Caenorhabditis elegans: one gene and its partner. The protein of the gene in region 1 purifies or fractionates together with the protein of each later gene. This does not show direct contact. Each region holds a gene or a part of one and is shown on either strand. Other genes may lie near its edges. The genes, in order: fkb-1 and F53B2.8.

What was found.
Region 2: the proteins of fkb-1 (region 1) and F53B2.8 fractionate together in Caenorhabditis elegans (co-fractionation; one large-scale study listed by BioGRID). This does not show direct contact.

Annotation. Positions count from the first base shown.
Region 1 is NC_003282.8:11,031,566-11,039,229, forward strand, and holds fkb-1 (peptidylprolyl isomerase), read left to right. Parts: upstream 1-5,016; 5' UTR 5,017-5,020; coding exon 5,021-5,148; intron 5,149-5,193; coding exon 5,194-5,305; intron 5,306-5,356; coding exon 5,357-5,536; 3' UTR 5,537-5,609; downstream 5,610-7,664. Other genes in the region: Heme transporter hrg-6, read left to right, coding at 1,131-1,235, 1,282-1,414, 1,623-1,709, 1,756-1,916; kdin-1 (KAP NTPase domain-containing protein), read left to right, coding at 7,321-7,434.
Region 2 is NC_003282.8:12,522,839-12,531,107, reverse strand, and holds F53B2.8 (Coiled-coil domain-containing protein 86), read left to right. Parts: upstream 1-3,711; 5' UTR 3,712-3,888; coding exon 3,889-3,910; intron 3,911-3,957; coding exon 3,958-4,038; intron 4,039-4,257; coding exon 4,258-4,709; 3' UTR 4,710-4,877; downstream 4,878-8,269. Other genes in the region: F53B2.5 (Importin subunit alpha), read left to right, coding at 1-3, 398-568, 617-742, 787-924, 1,085-1,330, 1,380-1,553, 1,599-1,689, 1,737-1,810 and 2 more; Protein eak-4, read left to right, coding at 5,599-5,841, 5,891-6,055, 6,295-6,630.

The DNA of each region.
Region 1 (7,664 bases):
ATTCCAAGATCGAAATTTTATGATATTTGTTCAATTCTCGCACCAAGTTTAATATGCTACATTCATTTTGATAAGCACAAAGGAGGTGTGTTGGTAGGTGCTACGAACATAATAAGCGAGCGAAAATCATTTGAAAATCAGAAAACCGAGAGAAAATCGTAAAAGTTCGAAGTGAATAAAGCGGGAGTTTTATTCCAAATGAACTCAATTCAACATTTTCATTTAACCACGAATTTCCATTTTTCTTGATAATAATTCAGTTCGTTATCGTTGACATTTTCCTATTTCTTTTCAAATTTCGAGGTTACATCATATAACTTGATCTGATTTTTCTTCAGTGCTGAAGTTTTTTATTGTTTATCAATGTATGATTTGTGTGTACTTCTGAAAATGAGCACAATGGGTTGAAGGATTTATTGGGAATAAAATTTGTCTAAAAAAGTATCGTCAGTGGAGATATTTTCTACTTTGTACTATAAGTCCAACGTAACCAAATATCATAATAAAAAACCAAACGATTTTTAGATTTTTAGATTTTTTTAAATGTTTATTAACTTTTTGGTAAATTTCCAAGTTTTCAAAAACTTGGTATTTACTTATTTTAGCAACATAGGAATCGTTTTTATATTTTCCCAACTAGTGCATCTTTTTTACGTTAAGAATGCGTTGCATTTGAGAATCTTAAAGTGTTTGAACCTTTATAACCAAACTATTAAGAGCACTAATAAAATTATGGTTTCATATAATGATTTTATTGATAGACAAATTTGGCAAATTGGTGTTATGATTTTTCTGAGTGATACATCTCGATGTCGGAAATTGTAGAATAAACACTTACTTCTAAATAAGATACAAATTCATATTATTTAATTTGCATATTTTTAGTGGTCTCTCATTAAAAACGTAAATAAGATTTATGAAATTGAAGCTAATTGCTCCTTTTTTTATTTACAATATGTAAAATCTCTCGAATTAAAATAGTCAATCTATTTGTTTTTTGCATAATTATGTTAGACGCTTTTTTTCAGACCAATTCATAACTTCTTATACTTTCAATTTTTTGGATCTTCAAAACTGTTTTCATTTTTTTTTCACCGTAACTAAAATTATTGGGTTTATATTAGATGGAAATGCGCTGGTCTTTGTGTTGTCACATAAACGTTCGAATCGCCTATACAATTTGTGGAATTATTATTGGATTGTTCTGGGCATGTGTCTACATTTTTGCTTGGAAGGTATATTGATTGGGTCCGGTAATAACTGATATCTGAATATCTACAGAACTGGGTTGCACTTGCCGCGTGTCTCACTGCCACTGCATTTGCTTTTGAAACATTTTATTTTTACTTATCAGTAAAAAGAGATACAATCCTGAATTGGAAGTCTCAAACTTTTCAAGTTCTTTTTTGGATAAGTGAGTTATTCTTGTTGGAGATTTTTTAAAAGTACAACCAACAACCTAAATAGGCAGTATAAGTAGAAAAAGAGAAATTGTTTTGTAGCTTTCTTTGGAGCTAAATTTAAAACAAATTCATAATTAAAATCTGAAACATTGTGCATGTACTGTAACTTTTAAGCGTAGGCAAAACTTTATGAATATAATAATATTCTAAAAATTCCAGATTTGATTGTTGGTTTTTTATCAATTGGAGGAATGATAACTGCAATTGTGCTGGCTGCTACTAAACATCAAGGAGTATCAAATAAAGGTCACAAATACTATAAATTCCAAATAAAAAACATTTGAATTTCCAGATCAACATGGTTTAAATTGGTGGTCGACTGCCACATGGTTTCTTGTTATGCTTAAATGGACATGGCAAAACGCATTTATCGCCAGATATTATGGAAAGCTGCTGACGAAGTCAATTATTCACCCAGAGGAGCCAGATGATCCATCAACTTGGAAGTTTTAGAATGTTGATTTAGTTTTACATTTCGTGTGAAATAATTATGGGTATTATTAATGAAGTACATTTTTGTAATTGTTTTTGACTGATTTCTGTTGTGTACTATAAATGCTAATCTGTCAGGACTCGTTAGTTAGAGTGGAGATTCACAGAAGAAACTAAAACCTAATGAGACCCCAGAATACTGCCGGTATTCTGTCAGGACTCATTAGGTAGAGAGGAGATTCACAGAAGAAACTAAAACCTACTGAGACCCCAGAATACTGCCGGTATTCTGTCAGGACTCATTAGGTAGAGAGGAGACTCACAGAAGAAACTAAAACCTAATGAGACCCCAGAATACTGCCGGTATTCTGTCAGGACTCATTAGGTAGAGAGGAGATTCACAGAAGAAACTAAAACCTAATGAGACCCCAGAATACTGCCGGTATTCTGTCAGGACTCATTAGGTAGAGAGGAGATTCACAGAAGAAACTAAAACCTACTGAGACCCCAGAATACTGCCGGTATTCTGTCAGGACTCATTAGGTAGAGAGGAGACTCACAGAAGAAACTAAAACCTAATGAGACCCCAGAATACTGCCGATATTCTGTCAGGACTCATCAGGTAGAGAGGAGATTCACAGAAGAAACTAAAACCTACTGAGACCCCAGAATACTGCCGGTATTCTGTCAGGACTCATTAGGTAGAGTGGAGAGTTGGAAATGAAACTAAAACCTAATGAGACCCCAGAATACTGCCGGTATTCTGTCAGGACTCATTAGGTAGAGAGGAGATTCACAGAAGAAACTAAAACCTACTGAGACCCCAGAATACTGCCGATATTCTGTCAGGACTCATTAGTTAGAGTGGAGATTCACAGAAGAAACTAAAACCTACTGAGACCCCAGAATACTGCCGATATTCTGTCAGGACTCATTAGGTAGAGATGAGACTCACAGAAGAAACTAAAACCTAATGAGACCCCAGAATACTGTCGGTATTCTGTCAGGACTCATTAGGTAGAGTGGAGAGTTGGAAATGAAACTAAAACCTAATGAGACCCCAGAATACTGCCGGTATTCTGTCAGGACTCATTAGGTAGAGAGGAGATTCACAGAAGAAACTAAAACCTACTGAGACCCCAGAATACTGCCGGTATTCTGTCAGGACTCATTAGGTTTAGTGGAGAGTTGGAAATGAAACTAAAACCTAATGAGACCCCAGAATACTGCCGGTATTCTGTCAGGACTCATTAGGTAGAGTGGAGATTCACAGAAGAAACTAAAACCTAATGAGACCCCAGAATACTGCCGGTATTCTGTCAGGACTCATTAGGTAGAGAGGAGACTCACAGAAGAAACTAAAACCTAATGAGACCCCAGAATACTGCCGATATTCTGTCAGGACTCATCAGGTAGAGAGGAGATTCACAGAAGAAACTAAAACCTACTGAGACCCCAGAATACTGCCGGTATTCTGTCAGGACTCATTAGGTAGAGTGGAGAGTTGGAAATGAAACTAAAACCTAATGAGACCCCAGAATACTGCCGGTATTCTGTCAGGACTCATTAGGTAGAGAGGAGATTCACAGAAGAAACTAAAACCTACTGAGACCCCAGAATACTGCCGGTATTCTGTCAGGACTCATTAGTTAGAGTGGAGATTCACAGAAGAAACTAAAACCTAATGAGACCCCAGAATACTGCCGGTATTCTGTCAGGACTCATTAGGTAGAGAGGAGATTCACAGAAGAAACTAAAACCTAATGAGACCCCAGAATACTGCCGGTATTCTGTCAGGACTCATTAGGTAAAGAGGAGACTCACAGAAGAAACTAAAACCTAATGAGACCCCAGAATACTGCCGGTATTCTGCCAGGACTCATTAGGTAGAGAGGAGACTCACAGAAGAAACTAAAACCTAATGAGACCCCAGAATACTGCCGGTATTCTGTCAGGACTCATTAGGTAGAGAGGAGATTCACAGAAGAAACTAAAACCTAATGAGACCCCAGAATACTGCCGGTATTCTGTCAGGACTCATTAGTTAGAGTGGAGATTCACAGATGAAACTAAAACCTAATGAGACCCCAGAATACTGCCGGTATTCTGTCAGGACTCATTAGGTAGAGATGAGACTCACAGAAGAAACTAAAACCTAATGAGACCCCAGAATACTGCCGGTATTCTGTCAGGACTCATTAGGTAGAGAGGAGATTCGCAGAAGAAACTAAAACCTACTGAGACCCCAGAATACTGCCGGTATTCTGTCAGGACTCATTAGGTTTAGTGGAGAGTTGGAAATGAAACTAAAACCTAATGAGACCCCAGAATACTGCCGGTATTCTGTCAGGACTCATTAGGTAGAGTGGAGATTCACAGAAGAAACTAAAACCTAATGAGACCCCAGAATACTGCCGGTATTCTGTCAGGACTCATTAGGTAGAGAGGAGATTCACAGAAGAAACTAAAACCTACTGAGACCCCAGAATACTGCCGGTATTCTGTCAGGACTCATTAGTTAGAGTGGAGATTCACAGAAGAAACTAAAACCTAATGAGACCCCAGAATACTGCCGGTATTCTGTCAGGACTCATTAGGTAGAGAGGAGATTCACAGAAGAAACTAAAATCGTATAGAACCCGCGATGATCACATCTATCCCATGTGCACTAAATTTCCTCGTTTTTACTGGATTTTTGAATGTTTCAGTTGAAAACCAATCTGTTCCGTTTTTGGGAACGGAGTGGATTGATGCCGAGGCTTTGAGGCAGCCTTTGCGAGAGATTTGGCACTCATTTTGTCTGAAATTAATTATTTATAATAGAAAAACTGAATTATTTTGTAAAATTTGTAAAGAAAACGGTAAAAATCTGTTTAAAACTCGGGAAAACTCAAAAACTATGAACTATGAGTTAAAAATCCGACAAAAGTTGCGCCAACAACTTTTGCTGACCCATTACTCGTTTTCTCTGCGTCACAACGCCACGTTTGCTTGACTTTTGTTTGCACACCTTCGATTGCTCTTTTGCACTGATTTCTCTGTCCATTTTTCTATTCATAACGTATTTTTTCAATAATTTTTCGTTGTATTGTGCTTCTAAAAATCAATTGTATTGTTGTAGGATCATGAAAACCGCTGTTATCGTTGGACTTTTGTGCCTATTGGCGATCGCATATGCTGCCGATGAGCAGAAAATCGATAAATTGCAAATTGGAGTCAAGAAGCGTGCCGAGAACTGCGTTCAGAAATCCAGGTAAGCTTACTCTTTTTAATTAAAATAAAAATGTTAAATTTACAGAAAGGGTGATCAATTGCACATGCACTACACCGGAACCCTTCTCGATGGAACTGAATTTGATTCCAGCCGCACTCGCAATGAAGAATTCACTTTCACTCTTGGACAAGGAAATGTTAGTTTTTAAAGAAAAAACCAATATCAATAATTAAAATTGAAATTATAGGTGATCAAGGGATGGGATCAAGGACTTCTTAACATGTGCGTCGGAGAGCGTCGTATTCTCACAATTCCACCACACCTTGGATACGGAGAACGTGGAGCCCCACCAAAGATTCCAGGCAACTCTGTCCTCAAGTTCGACGTTGAGCTCATGAAGATTGACAGAGACGGAGAAGAATTGTAAACGAACTACGGATATTTAGAAAACGTGCCTTTTGTAACTTATTCATGTTCTCAGAGTATAATTTTTTTTTGCAGTTTTTTTTTTTGTCTTTATAAACATGCCCATTCTATATATTTGGACCGTCTGCGGCCATTGATCACAACCGCGTCTCGCTTCTCTTTATCACCTTGTATTGCACTCTGTCAGCGAAAATGATAGGGTGTGCGAGACATTTATCAATTTCCATACACCTTTTTCTCTTCTTACCTAGTAATGCCTTGCTTTCTTAGTTTTTAAGAATGATTATTTTAATCTGAAAATCTGGAATCAACAGTTTCGTAAATATTAGAATTCAAGTATGTGGTTCCTCTGTAAATAAAAAGCACGAATCGAAAAAGGAAATGCATTTTTGAAAATGTCGAACAATAAACAAAAAATTGGAATTCTATTAGTAGAAACCCAATTAAAACTGGCATCCATGAATTATTGCACCAACGATCCGAATGCTTCTTTTCTCTTTTTTTTTGTTCATGCTCCATCCTAACAATAGTTATAAATTGAGGTCGATTCTTGCTCTTCGTTGTCTTCTCTCAACACACGAGTAAATTGAGTATTCCTTGAGAGCCTCCTGTGAGAGTATTTGTGAGCCTTGTATTTCCTTTCTCTCACTGCTTTCTTCTTCAGTTTTGATGTATAAAAGTATGAATAATAAAACTGACATTTCGCACTGAAAATTCAACGTGGTTTCGGGAGTAATATTTGCATAATCCGTCTTCTTGAAACCAACGGAGCGTGATGGAAATTTGATAGGACTCGATATTTTCTCTAGAATTTTGAACTTGGTTTTTTGAATTCTCTATTTTTTTGAGATCTATGATAATCTAACGCTTTTTCTGTTTGCCTACGCTTTTCGTTTTTTTTGTGTTTCTATTGACAGGCTCCCATCCCATCATTTTTCGGTGTCTGCTACTGCGACCACCACTGACAGATGTGTCATTTTCTGCATTTTTTTTTCTGTTTTCCGAATATTGATTTCTATTCGATTTTTGAGGATTAAGAATAAATCATAAAATATTAAATTATTGGTAACTGCAATTGCGACCATTTTCGGAAATCGGTTTGAAACAAGCAAAAATAATTACCGAAGCTATATAATAAAAACCACTCATAAAACGAAGTTTCTCAAATATTTGTCGGAATTTTTCTTTTTAATTTGTAAAAAATTAAAGTTTCCAAAGAAATACCGCAGATTAAAGGCGCTGCCAATTAAATAATATTATTTTCTTTTTTCAGATTTGCAAATACAACAATGAAAGTCGCGTCGAGACCATTACAAAGTATTCTAGATGCGCCTTTAAAGTTACTGTAGGGACTTTTTGTTTTCTCTTTTCGATTTTTCTACGAATGCTTTGAAACTGTTTATTGTAGAATTTTAATGTATTTTAATCAGTTTTTGCTCTTAAATAGAGTAATTCCCAATAATTTTGTATCAAATTTTACCATTATCTACAGAAATTCGTCGGTTTTTCAATACATGCTGTCTATTATTCGTTTTCAACCCCATACAGTAATATTTTTCAGCTTTCAAACAAATAAAAAGAAAAACACAACAATTCTTCATCGATTTGCGAAGAAAAACTGCTGATCGAAATTAGTATTTATACTAAACAAGCGTCTGGAAAGTTTGTATATGACGAAGGACCACTGAAAGCAAGAGAAAATAGAGAAATCCAAGAAATATTGTGACGCGTTGTGGAGACCCAGGACGTTAGGGGAAAGAAGACGAGAAGAAGCAGCGAGGAGCCATGGTTCAAACACTGAGAAGACCGTGGCAAGAAGCGGCAAGCAGTGCTTTTGCCGTCGCCAGTGCTCTTCCGGTGACTATGAATAGTACACAAATTGCTGAGCTCTTCGAACAGGTTATATTTTATAATTATTAATAAATTTTAAGGAAACATTTTGAATCTCAATATGCTAATCTGAATTTAATACGATTAGAAATACTTTAATCGTCAAAAAAATCAATTTTCAAAAACCAAAATTGACAGAATGCTGTTTTATTTCGAAATTTAAGAATAAAGAAAAGTAATCACATCTTCCTAGAAATAAAACAAAGAAAATATCCTTTGAAGATCTTTGTTCAAAGAAA
Region 2 (8,269 bases), 1.5 Mb from region 1:
ATGGTAAGAGTATATCAGAATCAGACGGCTGGCAAATCGGATGTTTCTCTTTTTTTATGCTGCAATGGTTTACCAAGAATGATTTTTTTGGCGGGGCAAAACCTGAATTTTTTGTAGTTGAGTTGCACTCGCGCTCCAACGCAAATTGAAAACCATAATTTGGTGGTCGTTATGTATGTTAAACTGTGATCTCGATTTCTTATTATGGATGGGACCGTTTTCATTTGACATTGGAGCACAATTGCACTTCCATCTCAAAATACACAGTGTTGGCTCGCTATAATGAAATTCAAAAAAATCTGATACGCAGAAAGGAAAGCCAAAAAAAAGCATAACGTCCGACTTGTTAGCCTCACTCGGACGGCAACTTTCTATCTATACTTCAATTTTTATACAGAATTCCCAACCTGAACAATCAGCAACATTTGACATTTCCTTTATCATCTCAATGCTCGAATCCTCATGCCGTATTCAACTGTCCACAGCTCTACACTTTTTTCGTAAAGCTTTTGCCAATCAGTCAGATTTATCGAACATCGCTCTGAAGGAGCAGTTTTATGGAAGAATTGTTAGTTCCGACGAAATTGTTTCAATTAATTCAAACTCTTTTTTTTAGAAGAATGGCGTTCTCAATGCTCTTCGTAATCAAACGTTAGACATTGACAGTGAGGTTAACGCTGTTTGGATTATCACTAATATGTGTTGTATTAGCCAGGAAGTTACTCACTTGTTTGTAAACTCGGTCAGTCTGAAAATTGATTTTTAGGAAAATTGTTTTTTTTTCAGAATTGTCTAGATATCTTGATCAAACTCGTTCGGTCTCAAAACGCTCGTCTCTCAAGTCAAACTGTTTGGGCAATTGCAAATATTGCAGCTGATTGTTCTTCGTGCAAATTGAAATGTAGATCACCTAAACTTTTGAAGGTAATTATAAGGGTTTGTAGGACATTTTAGAATCCATCCACAGCACAAATGAAAACAACTGTTACGGCTGCATTTAGGCGCTTTAGGCAGGCGCTTCAGGCAAGCGTCTGGCCTTTGAAAGCATGCCTGTCTACCATGTCTAAATAAATTCCAACTTCAGATACTCGCCAGAAACTTACAAACGTCGTATAAACTCGACGATGCAGACCGACGCCAACTCATTTGGTGTGTCAATAATATTTTTTCCGGTGGCCGAACAACGATGCCATCACCAGTAGCTCGTTCACTTATTTGTGCTTTGTCTGCAATTTTACTCGACACAGACGCTGTCGATAATATGGGATGTGGTTCAATGATTTTATGGACTCTTGCCAATTTGGTTGACAACTCACTAGATACCACACGGGTTTGTTTTCGGATTATTGTTAATCAAAGTTCTTTACTAAAACTTTCAGATCGACATGCTTCTTTCCCAAAACTACGTTGTTGAGCATATTCTCGAAAAATTTATTGATCAAACGGACAAGTCATGCAATGTTTCATGCCTCCGCCTTATTGGAAATATTGCAGTCGGGAATGATGTTCAGACTGATCTGTTGGTTGATAATCCCAAGTTTAGAGTTGTTATGGTACGTTTTTGACATCAAAATTGAAAATTAAAAATATTTTTTCAGAATATTGCAATGTCATCTCCGGAGCATCACAGTGAAGCCGCATGGATCATATCAAACGTTGTTGCCGGTGCTCCAAGACACGTGGATTACAGTTAGTTTTATATTTATTTGATTACTGAATAGGATCTATGTTTTCAGTAATGGATGATCCAGATGCTTTCTATGAATGGGTGATGGCTGGGATTCATACTGGAGACAAACGCTTGAGAAAGGTAAGCTGATATAAAATTATATGAACAGTATTTTATTTATTAGACATGCACCACCATTGTTTTACATTGACAGGGCATATATCTCGATTCACTTCCGTTTTATCAAAAAATTGTCAACTGAAGAAATACGTGCAAAATGTTTTTCTACGTTTTGATAGTGAAATTGTTTGATAACACTTGAGACAGTCAAGATATGAGCCGTCAAAGTGAATTAATGAGGGTGCAAGTACAATAGAGACAATACTGTAGTTAGCTTTGAACACATCTTTTGAAACAAAATTTATTTTCGAGCTTAGAAATTATCTATGGTTATTTCAGGAATGTCTGTGGATTATTGGAAATCTATTGGCAACTGCAGATGAGCATCAAACGTATCTTCTCGTCTCCTTAGGAATAGTACAGCATTTTCCAGCTCTTCTCGATTTTGATGATGTTCGTTTGAATGAAAAGGCGGCGACAACTGCAACTGAACTGCTCCGTGAGCATCCATGGCAGTACACATTGTTCCAACGTTTGGATATTTTGGGATGTATTGAGAGAGCTGGAGCAAACGTTAGTTGAATATCCTTAGACTTAACAATCCGTGTGTTTCAGTTTTCGATTCAAAAAGCCGAACTGAAATCTTTGATGAATGACTTGGCGCCACCTGAACGGAAAGATGAAGATATTGCCAAAGGATGTTCTGTGATTTGCTACAGCAAGCTCTCAGACGACTTTCACAGCATGAGCATTTGAATTTACTCGTTTGAAAATAAAAATACGAATTTTGATTGTGTAGGTTTAAAATATCAACCCATCAATCAGCAGAAAATGTTGTCTAATTACGTTTCTGTGATATTTAAAATTACTTGAACATTTCCAATACACCTGTTTTTATTTGTTCACTCGAATTCCAATCAGATTACTGACAGATTACTGGCTCTTCAACTGCGATTTTTCTACCGGTTTGTGTACTCTTTTTGGACAATTAGATGTTATGTGCACTTCCTGAACAGGTGCATAAACAATTGATGAGATGATGATGAATAGATGGATTAGGAATGGGGGAAAGAGGATTTTAAATGTTTTTGGAACATAGGGGGTAATTACCGGTAATTGATTTTTTCCAAATTTCTTCACTCCTAAAATATTTCAAGTTTTCAGGCAACAAAATGTGAGAAAAAGGATTTTTTTAAAGTTAAATATGATCAGTAAAGTGTCGGCTTCCATGATTTTTACAAATACACAATTATTATAACATCTCTTTTAGGTTTTTAGGTAGATTTGCATTAACTTTGCCAAAACTATTCGACTCTTCCAACTACAAAAATGTTTTCCAGTTTGAATTCAAATACCCGTCGTCCTTTTCTATTTGCCAATTTCCGGCGGCAATGTGATGGGATAGTGATATGACAATCTGTTACTCATTCCTTTTGGCGGTTTTTGTAAGGAACAAAAGCACTTTTTCTAGATTTGAATTTGAGTTGGGGAGATGTTGAACGACGACGATGAGCTGTTAGATGTTTTAAATCTTGAATTGTATAGTAATTCATAAGATTAAAAATCAGAAAACTTAAAAACTTAAATTTGAATATAAATATACCATAACTTTATGTCATCGATAAAAATTGGTCACACAGTAAAAACCGAGGGTTGCTGTACCTGGCAGTAGTCTGAAAAAATCAAATGTTAATGAAAATTTCGAATATTAAAAAATTTAAAACATTGCCTAAGTTAAAATTTTCGAAATGCTGAAATGCTTTGGGTGTAATATTTGTTAAGCATATTTCTAGTGAATTTTGTAGTTAAAAATTTCAACACTTTGATTTCGCAATCCCGTCACCCATCTTTTCCCTCTGGGTCTCACGATTTCCCCATACTTTCCAATAATCTTTCCTGTCAACATTCCCATTTCACATGACATTTTCAATTTTAATACTACCTTACTCATAGTCAACATCACTATTTCAGAATTCCACACTTATAAACATTATTGATGATAAAAACTCTTTGATAAGAAATTGATACAAAAACCCTCCTCAGTGCCTGCAATTTCAGTGGTTACTTGTACTGCTAAAATCAATTGCTTTGAACTGAAAATGCCAATGGGCAAGAAGTTGTGTAAGTTTTTAAAGTCGAGAAAAATTTGAAAATGCTCAAATTTACAGTGGGAAAGCTTAAGAGAAATAAGGTGGAGGAGCCACAGGTGGAGCCGGAGGAGGATTTGGGAGATGCTATGAGTACGCAAGGTTAGTAAGGAATTACATTTGACTTTTAGTGTTGAGCGTCGATTGTAGTGTTCGGAAAATTTTAGTTCACTGAACGGTATAGCAAATACGCAAATTTGACGCGAAAACTTTATAAACAACAGATTTGACGAGCAAATTATCGTAATAAATCTATGTGATAAGTCTAGTTTACGTTTGGCAGATTATATTACATACTCGAATGAGATTCGCAAATTTCAGAAAAAGATGACGTGAAAGTTGGGAAGAAAAGAGCCCCGAAGAATAACATGGGTGGAAAGAAACGACTGAGATCCAAGCTGGGAAATGTTGGGAAACACCAGAAAAGGGTACGCTCCAAGGAAAACACTCCGGAAAGAAAGCTGGAAAAATTGGAGAAACTCGAACTTCAACTGACCTTAAAACGAAGTCGAGAGGAGCAGAAACGAGCCAAAAAAGATAAGAAACTGGAGAGAAAAGCACTGAAGATTCAAAAAAAGTTGGAAGCTTTGAGAAGCATCAAGGAAAAACCACATCAAGGCTCTGAAGCACAAGGGCCAAAAGTCCCCAGAGCCAGAAAGATCCGGGTACCAGCCCCAAGACCACCCCGTCTTCCATATTTGGCTCTAGTCGCCAATCTTCATAAGGCTCCGAAAGCATTGCGTGATATGAGAGCTGCTGCTTCACGCCGTTAGTGTGGGCTTTGGATCATTTGGAAGAAAAAAAAATTGTTAAGTGGAAAATTAATAAGAAGAATATGAATCTGGATGTCAAATTTAATTTGTGGACGTTTTGAATTTTTCACTTTGAAGTTTTTATTTGTTAATAAAAAATGTTTGATTCAAAATTTACAAATTTCAAATCAGCATACCAAAATCTTCGAAATGTAATCATGATTCATGAGAGGTCTCGCCATGAAAACTAATGGTTATGGTAGATTTTTTCAATCTTATTCGAAATTTCAATTTGAAACTTGATCTTCAAAGTGAGACCACATTTCCCACTAACGTTTTTTATCTGCTCACTATCAGATCAAATTTAAGATTCAGAAAACTTGCTAGCTACAGTAACCGACACGTTTTGTAGTGAGACCCGATCTGCTTCGTAAAAATTCACATCTGCCTTGTAAGGAGACCTACACCTGATTCCTGCCTACAAAACGTGCCTATAGACTTGCAAAATTATTTCCGATCCTTTAATTGTTTGCAAAAATTCAGATGCCTAGGCAGTAGGCAAGCTTGTAGGCAGGCAAGAATACAGTAGGAGGAAACGTGCTTGCCTACTGGAATTTGGGAAATTTCTTCATAATCCGGTAAATTAAATTTTAAGGAGAATTCAGACTGTTCCCACAGCAATTTAAATCCACTTCCCTTTCCAAATTTCTGTGTCTCACTCCACTTTTGTTATAATTTTACGAATTTTTATTGCTTCCCCTTTTCCTAATTTACAGTATTCCTTGTTATCGAAAATATGTATGAATTCTGAGAAAAATTGGTCAAAAAATATAAAAAGACAAAAAACAATTAGCAGCCCCAGACCATCTCGACAATTTCCCCCATTCATTCTTACTTCCTCCCCACCATCATGGGACAATGCCTTGCCGTTCATCGCCGAATCATGGCGTCACAGGAGTTTCCGAATATTCCTCAGCCGGAGTCGCAGTGTCATGATGCATTTATCCGGTATTCCCCAGGAAGATACGAACGTCGGGCTGCACGATCCCAAGTCGACTATTATCTACTCCCACAGGCACCGCGGTTGATGACTGAGGATTTGGATAAGAAAGAGTTTCAGCGACTCTATGATGCTCGTTGTGAGCTCGTTGAGGTGAGATCTTTCACAATTTAATTTTGAAAAAAACCTTCAATAATTTCAGTGTCCAGCCGGAAGGCGTGCAATGCAACTGGATGTTCAGATCTATGCGGATCGTTATGAGGCGACGCTCAACAAGATTTTGGAGACTTCTCAAGAGCTTGACAAAGGCCTTGAAGACATTTTCCAGGCCTACACAAAAGATGATCCACTGGCTGATAAGGTTATGGTGAGTGGTATTTCGGAAGGGATTAAGGGAAATCAGACGGGTTGCGTAACTGTCAAAATCATTCATTCTGGCGCGCCAAAGTCATGCCCAACTATTGCCCAAGTTTAGCCAACTTCTAATCCAAGTTAATATTTTTTGGGTCAAACTTGGACAAGAAGCTAGAGCCAGATCCCGGGAATGTATCAATATGATCAAATTCCTTAACCTCTATTTTACATGAAAAATTTAATTATATTTAGAACTGCCGCTTGACCGTCGACGAAATGGGACGAGTGTACGAGCACTTCTTCCGCGAATCGGCATGGAACCTTGACAGCTTCGTGGAGTACCGGAAGAATCTGGCACGAGATGCCTACTTGCTGCTTGCGGATCTGAAAATCGCAATCCAACGTCTCGGCATGCACTTCAATCCGAACTTTGAAGACGCGCAAGTCAAGGTGGACTTCCAGATTATGCAGGCCGAGCAGATCATCTTTCACTTCAAAAGGACATACAGGGACGCACTGAAGCACAACCCTGACTCGATTACAGAGTTTGTGGAGGACGAGCTGGAAGATCCTGGAACACCGTTGTAATTTTTATTGTCATTCTTTTTCTGCCGTTTTCTTATCCTTCCCCATTAGTTACTGTAGTTCAGTCTTTTTTGAATTTCAATAAAACTACAACAAAATCAACATTTTTCAGTAATACATAATATTCTTTAATTTTGCAATGTATGTCTAGACAGCCAAGAGTTAGAAGAATTATAGAAAAGGAAGCAATTGTAAAGAAAAAAATACTTTTCGAACTTCGGTTTTCATATTATGTATAATCATGGGACGAATAAAAAGACAGAAAAAAATAATTTAAAAACAATATTTTAATAATTTTGATACAGTGGCCAAGAGGTTTCGTGGTAGGATCCTAGGCAAGAAATGGGTCCTGAGTAGATGTGAAACTTTTAAATTTATAAGCCTTAGATTTGGAAATTTAGATTTGTTTTCAAAATGAAAACATCCGATTTAAGATTAAAATTGAGTGAAACTTGTTGAGAGATTTAAATTATGTCACCATATATTCCAATTGAACAGAATTTTGTGGTTGCTGACCAAGTCTGATGATGAGCCAAAGTATATGGCTAAAAAAAGTAAAAACTACTTGTTCTTCCTGATGCGTCGGTATTGATATTTGACTGTAATCACAAAAACCTTAAACTTCGAAAAATCGAGTACATTTTTCAGCACATGTGTCGTGCGGTGATCTCAACTCATAATTACGCCCAACTTCGAATCCCTGAATTATACCTCATGTGATGCCACATTTTCTCAATTGCTCGTCATGTCTAGCAAAGTGTGTCTGAATTTTATTTCATAACAAATTATAGCAAAAACGTGTAGTTTTGCTGTTTCGCACACTTGATGCTGTTACCATAAATCTGAATCAGTTTTTGAGAGCAGATTTTCAAACGGTTTCAAGTTTTTCAATTTTTTTTGGAAACTCACATCTTAAACCTTGAGTATTTCTTACAAAAACATTTTCCTAATTTTTAAAAACTTTTCATGACGCATGAATGAATGCAAATAACGGAATTTCCAACTTTTACAAAATTTAATTTTAAATTTGAGAAGATTATTGTGGTTATTTTAAAAAAAACATCAACCTTAGCTTTCCGTAAAATGATTTCCGATTTTCCAATTGTTAGATAATTATATTTTCACCTATTTTTTTATGCGGAACCAATATTTGATATTGCAAAAACCATTACCCTTTTTATGAGCTGTTTACCATTTATAATTCCCAGTATTTGCCAATTCAAAATTTCCCACCGGGAAAGTCCTTGTTTTTCTACATTTTCTGTTTTCTGCAACCATTAAAACACTTTTTCATAAAATGCATCATCTTTTGTACATATGTCTTGTGAGGAGCACTACTCATAATTACTCTAAGTTTTGAATCACTGTGTGTTGCCAGGTTTTCATAATTGCGTGTCTAGTAATCTTTCCCTGACATTTTTCAATGAAAAATTCTAGCAAAAAAAACAAGGTTTTGAGGAAAGATAAGCTTTTTGGCAACAAAATAATGCTCTAATGTAAAGATGTAGAGGAGCATAATTTTAACTTCTAACCTACATTTATTTTTAGCAGATTTAGTCAAAAAATATGCACTCTCTTCTCACCTTTTTTACCCTAATCTAATCACCAAAATGAAACATTTCCAGTCTTTAACCCTCGCAAA